Sus scrofa: one gene and its partner. The protein of the gene in region 1 interacts with the protein of each later gene in a pairwise test. Links are inferred from orthologs where the notes say so. Each region holds a gene or a part of one and is shown on either strand. Other genes may lie near its edges.

The links. The genes of interacting proteins can lie anywhere in the genome.
Region 2: the proteins of EFHC2 (region 1) and COPE interact in binary tests that used the Homo sapiens proteins (3 or more experiments, as listed by UniProt). The two-hybrid records come from large-scale screens. The link is inferred for Sus scrofa from reciprocal best matches to the Homo sapiens genes EFHC2 and COPE.

Annotation. Positions count from the first base shown.
Region 1 is NC_010461.5:39,517,528-39,521,321, forward strand, and holds part of EFHC2 (EF-hand domain-containing family member C2), read right to left. Parts: coding exon 3,573-3,794; intron 665-3,572; coding exon 413-664; intron 1-412. UniProt on the Homo sapiens protein: Microtubule inner protein (MIP) part of the dynein-decorated doublet microtubules (DMTs) in cilia axoneme, which is required for motile cilia beating.
Region 2 is NC_010444.4:58,929,794-58,933,958, forward strand, and holds the start of COPE (coatomer subunit epsilon), read left to right. Parts: upstream 1-1,135; 5' UTR 1,136-1,219; coding exon 1,220-1,345; intron 1,346-4,165. Other genes in the region: probable ATP-dependent RNA helicase DDX49, read right to left, coding at 752-866. UniProt on the Homo sapiens protein: The coatomer is a cytosolic protein complex that binds to dilysine motifs and reversibly associates with Golgi non-clathrin-coated vesicles, which further mediate biosynthetic protein transport from the ER, via the Golgi up to the trans Golgi network.

The DNA of each region.
Region 1 (3,794 bases):
CGGAAGTTCCCGTGCCAGGGATCAAACCAGCGTCACAGCAGCAACCCAAGCCACGGCAGTGACAACACCCGATCCTTAACCCACTGCGTCACAAAGGAACTTCATGAGCAATCCTTTTACTAGACAGTCATTTGCCTTCAAAAGACTCGTTGTGAACTCCATGATGAATAGGCAGTTCTCTTGCATCTGACTTTTTTCCTTCACTTGCCTTATGTCCTGAATATCCCCCCGTTTGTCATATCCCCTGTATTACTTTCATAGATGTATATTAATAGAGGGCACAGAATGAAAAGTCTTCCAAACACCTGCACTAATACATGGTAACTTGTCATCACACATGACATTCCAGACAGTGAGTGACTAGAATCTTCACAGGCAAACTCAGAAAAGTGGTCGCGTGTGGCCTGCTCACCTTTGGTAGCTTTCTCCTCTGGAGGAACAATGACATAGCATCTCTTCCCGAGTTATGCGGCATCACTTCTTTGATTTCGATGGTATCATCAGACAGAAAATAATGCAGGATGAGTTCTCTGCGGTCCCCAAACAACGAGCCCGAGTCATCCCACAGGCAGAAGAAGCGCAAAACCTTCCTGTCATACTCAAGGAACTGTTTGAGGGTGTCAAAGGACTCATAGGGGCGTAAGGGCTCCACGCAGTCTAGCTTCTGCAAATGGGGAAAGGGTTAATGATAGCTGCAGCCTTTCCACAGTTGTTTCCGGGATGCAAGCCATCAGAGAACATAAAGATATTTTGTCCATAGACCATTCTGTGATTTTTTAAAAATTCCCACTAACAACATACATGATAGGCGTATATAACCAGCCTTGACCTTAGAAATACAGACAATCAAGTGTTAGGAAGCTTTTCATTACACAGTGGTTTTTTAATACACTCAAATATATTTCTACAATGTTTTTGAAAATGGCCTTTTCTCAGACTTAAAATTCTTATTTAAGAACAGACAAAGCTAATACACGGTGACAGCAATTAGAAGAGTTACTGCCTCTGGGTAGGGCATTGGTCGGAAAGGTGGATGAGCGAACTCTGTGGGGCGATGGAAATATTCTCTCTTGATTTTCGTGTCGGTTACTAAATTGTATACATTTTTCCAAACTTGTCAGTGTGTATGCTTAAGATTTGGACATCTGAGTCTATGTTAATTCTATTTCAACCAAAAGATTTTTCACTGAAAATTCATATATATCCTTCTTACTCATCCAAAGATTTTTGTGAAGGTAAAAAGGGAAGAAAATACATTCATGGTTTTATTTTGCTCAAAAGCTTTAGATAGCGAGGATCTGAAAGCCATGGAAACGGGAGCAGAGCAAATGGAGAATGTTCCAATCAGCAGGGAGCCACTGGGCACGGGCTCCAACCCCCAAGCCAGGACCCACTAGCCTGGGGTCTTCTTGGTGCAATTCTTCTCTAGCTGCACACTCTCAGCTCCATCTTGGAGCAAAACTGCCCCCATTCTATCTAATGTGGCATAACAGGATCACTACATAAAGAAGGGCTGACTAGCAAGAGAGATGTGGTCCCACATTGGGTTATGTAACCTTACTTGTAAATTCTCAAAATTTTCTATCTGTCCAGGGCAGTCTAGGTGCAGACTTAATCCCAAGACAGTGGGGGAGACACGATAACCTTCCAGAGGCTCTTCTGTCTTATTCGTCACATTTAAATGAAATCACAAGATCTCTACTTTCATCTATTGAAAAATGTTTCCTTGGCACGATAAGGCCTCTAAGAAATGCATTATTGATTATACACCGTCGAGGCTCTTTTCAGTTCAAGTTAAATTGTTTAATTTTAACTTTACATTTCAAGGCAGCAAACACTGGAGAAGTAAATGCATTAAAGTCAATATGAAAGCCTCTTATTAAGCTCCTAATTTTCCACAGATTTCTGTATTTATTGAAGAGCTTTCTCCCTGAGGGAATAAGCACTAAAATTATTCTCCCAATCTGAAAGGAAATTGTTTAAAACATTTCTTGCCTGCTCTTGGTATTTAGTCTTGATTCCTGGAACAAAAGATTTTTTTTTTCTTTATAAACCTATGAAACCACACAGTGTTTTATGTATTTCATATAATGCATCATCATTCACAATCACTATCGTGTAATACCACTGTTAGGGAATGAGTGTAGCCAGATGCAAAGTGGTAATGGTATAGATCCATTTATTTTAGGTTCTCTCTGCTAGTTCTAAAGACTTCTGTATTTATCTAGAGTCTTTCTTCTAGGGCGTTTGGAAAAAAATGAACATGAATCCCAACCATAAATCTTGCACGCCAACACACACAAGTATAATGCCACAAGGATTTTGCCTTCAATATTCCAGGATCAACAATATATATTTCTCAGGAGGGTTGTACGCCTACAACATTAAAGGATAATTCTGCTGGGGCTAGGAGGCAGGAACAGATGAATGATCCTGCGTGCAGCTTTTAACAAGAGATCAAAGCAGAATCAAAGAAGAATTTTATTCTAAATTTTATCTTTCTGCAAAGAAGTTAATTACAAGTTTTAGAAACAATAAAAATGAGACTAAGCTAACCTATAGGGATAGAAATGGGAACAGTGCTTATCCCTGGGTAAGGAGAAGGAGAGATTGGAAAAAGGCACGCAGGAACTTTCTAGGGGAATGGAAATGTTCTATATCATGATTTTGAGTGTGGCTTACATGGGTGTACGCACTGGTTAAGACCTATTAAACTGTATTATTATTTTCCGTGTATTTTATTGTGTATAATCATACTTCAATGAAAAGAGAAAAGAGAAACAAATGCCAATAATGAAAATCCGGATAAGAAGCAAGAGATGGGTGTTCAAGTCTCAGCAAGAAGACTGGTGAGGTATGTGACCTTGCACATGACACCTACCCTTCTGAGTATTCAGATTCTCCTGTTAAACATAAAATTTGGGCCAAGGGATCATTAAAAAAAAAAAAAAAACAACTTTGGAAATACTACAATAATACCACTAACACTGATTCTTCCCTCCCTACACTAACTAGGGTCAGACCTTGAAATCAAGCATCCTGTCATCATGGGGGTACATTGGAATCATGGCCCTCCTCACTCCTGAATATCTCTGTGTCTGATACCACTATAAAGGGGGGGGGGCATCCCGAGGAAGAAGGGAAAAGGTATACCCAAAGCTTGGTTCAGTAAATCAGTAGCACAGAAGCAAACAATCATCCCAGGGTCAGGCAACTGAAATGGGGTAAGAAAAGCCAGGTACGTGTGGGCCCAACTCTTCCACTGTCAGTGACCACAAAACCCCTCGTGGGCTCTTAGAAACACTGTCCCATGCGGGCAGTTCACTGCAGACTCTTACTGCCTGCCAGGGAGGCTGTCCGTGGAGGGAAGGTGGGGGCGGAGGCAGAGAGTGACTCTTTCCTACACTGACGCCAACACCCAGCCTCCCTCCAGCCCAAAGGAAAACAGGACAACTCCAATGACCATGGCCCCCAAAGCTCGTTCACATCTGCCTCACAAGTACCAATACCTTTTACTGGCTCCAAAGGGATTCTCATCCTGAAGACAAAAGGCCATGGACAAATCAACTCACCTCTCTCCGGGTCTTCATGTAAGGATCTTCTGGACACTGTCCTGGGGGGTTTAATTTGACTCCTATTTTCTTCAAAAAGTTTTTTGTGAAAGTATCACAGTCATAAATCTTGAAGGTTCGACCATATAAGACAATGTCTACGTTGATATTGAAATGATACACGGTATAAAACTGATCCTCATCAGGAGGTGGGAGAGAAATCCGATGACGGCGGATAAAAAT
Region 2 (4,165 bases), on another chromosome or scaffold:
TCTTTCTGTTTCAGGATTCTGATAACTTACTGTTTTAGCAACTGACAAATTTTAGGAGGAAGAGGCCATTACCATTCCCACTTAACAGAAGGGAGAACAGATCTCAAAGCTTTGCCCAGGACACACTGCCAGTGAGTACAAGCTGGACTAGAACCCACATGCATCTGACCTGAGATGTCTGCTACTAATCACTACCTCATTTTGACTCCTTCCCAGGGATAGAAGCTTGGGAAACCCAGAATGTTCTCCAAAATCTGCATCCTATGCTCCCAAATGATGCCTTCAGCTTTATTTAATCTCTCAATTTGTCCATCTGAGGCTTCCTAAAAAGCCAGAGGAGTGAGGAGAAAAGCAGTCTACAGACTAGAGTCCTAAATTTACCTAGGTTTACCAGTTGTCGGTACCGGTAATACCGACAACCTCAGTTTCCATCTATGAAATGGAGATAGTAATACAAACTACCGAATTTTCCCAGTGTTATCTACCAGTCACTCATCAAATCATCCCAGCGCTCTGAGGCTATCTATGAGAGCTTCAGAAATTACACCACTTGTGTGCGGAAACACGGCGAGTCAATCGTACAGCCTAAACGCCAACACTGAGTAGTCGACTCCGAGAAACCAGGCTCGCCCGTGAGGCCCCAAAGCTGCCCCTCGACCCACGGTACCGGTGTGGGCAAAAGGGGCGAGAAGGCAAAGTAAGGCGACAGGAGCGGGGAAACCTCCTGTAGAAGAGGCCTAGGTACACTCACCCTCCAGGATGGCGGGGATGCAGCCGAGCTGCACGGGCGTGGGCTGCTTCAAACCCAGCTGCCGACATTGTTCCACCAGCCACGATGACAGCCCGAGCTCAGCAAAGCCAGCCATCCTCTCAGTCAGCCCGGCACCCCTGTGAGCCGTGCTTCCGGCGCTTGTCGATGACGTCAGGGAAGCCTTCGCGTTTATTGGATCTACCTTTTGCGCGGCTCCACCCTCTGCAGTTTACTGCCATTCCTAGGCTCATTATATCCTTACCATGTTTTCCCCGAGCCCGCAGACTCGAATACAACTACAATTCCCGAGATGCCCTGTGAACGCACGTGCGTCTCCCGCCCCTTTAACTCCTCTTTAAGCTCATTTCCAGGGAGCCGAGTAAACTACATTTCCCGGAGGCTCTGCGGTGGCTCTGTGCTTCCGGCCGACGTGTCCTCAGGAAGAGGAAGGGGTAAGAACACAGCGACATGGCGCCACCGGCACCCGGCCCGGCCTCCGGCGGCTCCGGGGAAGTAGATGAGTTGTTCGACGTAAAGAATGCCTTCTACATTGGCAGCTACCAACAGTGCATCAACGAGGCTCAGCGGGTGAAGGTGGGCTAGGGGATGCTAGGGGCGGAGGCGGGGGCGGAATACGCTTCCTGTTGGCCACGGGTCGTGCTCTGATTTTAAAACCCTTTCTTTCCTCGTCCCGTTTTTCCTCTCACACCTCTTTAGAGCGCGATAAGGAATTATCCCTGTCCCATGACAAAACCCAAAGCAGCAGCAGTTTATGATACTTCTCACTTTGAGCGCTCTTAGCCTGGGAGGCGTTTGAGTAAAAGAGGGGTTTCTTACCGCTATGGTAATAACAATGGCGAGGTTATTACGCTATAGTAATGATAATAGTAACAGTAATTCTTGTTGGTTCAGCGCCCACACTGTGCCGCCATACCCTCAATACCTGTGAAGTAGGGACGTTGTTTATCCTCATTGTCCAGGTGAGAACTCCGAGGCTTTTCGCAATGTCACCCTGTCCCATTAACCAGATTATTTCTCTCCAAACATGCCCATTCGTTCACTCCTCATGGAGTATCTGTATAAGCCAGGCAGAGTGCTCGTGCTGGGCTCAAAGCAGTACAAAATAGACAAAACTCCCAGCTCTCTTGGAAACCTCAGCTCCCAAGGGAGACAGAGAATTAACAAGTTAATAAACAAGATGTCAGGAGATGGTGTGATGGGGAGTGGTGAGGGGGCTTGGCTGTTTGAGGGCTGAAAAATAGAGTCCAGGGCCCAGGCAGTGAGCGGGTGACAGGAGAGGGAGCAGAAAGGACCTTAGGCAGTACTTTTGGGGAAGGGTCACGGATATTACAGTTACTTTGAGAGTGAGCCATTGGAGAATTTTTTTTTTTTTTTTTAAGGGCTGCACCTGCGACATATGGAGGTTCCCAAGCTAGGGGTCTAATCAGAGCTGTAGCCGCCAGCTTACACCACAGCCACAGCAACTCGGGATCTAAGCCTCGTCTTCGACCTACACCGAAGCTCACAGCAACGCTGGATCCCTAACCCACTGAACAAAGCCAGAGATCGAACCCGCAACCTCATGGTTCCTAGTTGGAATCGTTAACCACTGAGCCACGATGGGAACTCCAGGGTTTAGTGTTCTGAAGAGAGAAAGCTTAATTACAACTTGAGCCCTATGGGGGTGAGAGGAGATGAGAGTACTGAGTCAGAAATGGGGGTGGGGGGAGTTCCCACTGTGGCACAGTGGGTTAAGAATCCAGCTGCAGGGGCTTGGGTCACTGCCATGGCTCAGATTCAGTCCCTGGCCCAGGAACTTCCATATGCCGTGGCGCAGCTATAAAATAAAATTGAAAAAAAATTAGAGATGGGGGTGGGAACTGCTTTGCATGAGAGTGGTCAGATCAGGCCAGATCTCTCTGTCATTTGAACCTGAGACTGAACCTTGGGGAAGGATCTAACCCCATAAGTTGCTGCAGAGGTGGCCGAGGCAGGAGTGAGTTCCAGGTGATCAAGGCCTAGGAGGCTGGTATAGCAGAAGTGGGGCAAGTACAGCGGGAGAGACAAAGAATGAGGTGGACAGAGCCTTAGGGGGCGGCAGCAGCAGGGGTTTGGGTTTTATTCCAAACATGTTTGGAGGCCATTGTGGGAGGCCATCGAAGCACCAAGCAGGGGAGTGGCAGATGTCTTCAGAGAGGCACGCAGAGCCTTCGGAGGAAATTGGATTCTGAAGTAGAGAAAGCTTGTTTTCCCTTCTGGCCATTTGCAGGGAACCTCATGTCCCTGAGCATTATCTATGTAATGGGGGTAGAACTCCAAACAGATTTCAGGAAGGTTAGGATTTGCTGAAATAACGTGTGTACAATCATGTTCGCTTTCCATTGCCGCTGTGACAAATTAGCACAAACAATGGCTTAAAAGAGCACACATTTATTATCTCACAGCTTCTGTAGGTCAGAAGTTCAGCAAGGTTCTCGCCAGGCTAACATCAAAGTATTGGTCTGGCTACATCTTTTCTGGAGGTTCTGGGGAGGAATCACCTTCCTAACTTGTTCCAGTTGCTGCCTCTTGACCAGGGGCCACTCTTAGCTCCTAGAGGCTTCTCTCTAGTCCTCAAGCTCGCACATCACCCTTCCATCTCAGAACCAGCCATAAGGTTCTCATGCTTGGAGTCTCTCAGATTTCCCCCTCTCCTTCATCCCTTTAGTCTAAAAGTCTTCTGCTTGGAGCTCCCGTTGTGGCTCCGCAGGTTAAGAACCTGACATAGTCTCCATGAGGACGCACGTTCAGCCCCTGGCTTGGCTCAGTGGATTAAGGATCTGGCATTGCCACAAACTGCAGCATAGGTTGCAGATGCTGCTTGGATCCAGCATTGCTGTGGTTGTGGTGTAGGCCGTCACTGCAGCTCCAATTCAGCCCCTAGCCTGGGACCTTCCGTATGCCGCAGGTGTGGCCCTAAAAAGAAAATAAATAAATAAGTGGTCTTTGCTTTTAAGAGCATCTGTGATTAGACAGGATGTTCCCATGTAACCTAACATAGTCTCCCCATTTTGGGGCTCATAACGTTCATCACACCATTGAAATCCCTTTTGTAATGTCAACTGTTCACAGGTCCCAGGGATTGGCGTGGACGTCTCGAGGGGAGAGAGGGTACAGGGATGTGTGCGTGTCTCACTCTGCTTAGCACCACGGTTATGGGCCTCCACGCTGGGGTAGTGTATGTAGCTCACAAGAAGATTGAGGCATTCCTGGGCTCGGATTCTGGCTCTTCTAGGTTCTCTCTGCAGCCAAGCCTGATTCACTGCACCTCTCTAAGCCTCAGTTTCCCATCCTGTCACATGGGAACAGTGACATTCATTTCAGTAAGGTCTCTGTGAGATTCATTGTTATACTCATGTTCTGCCTTTTGCTTTC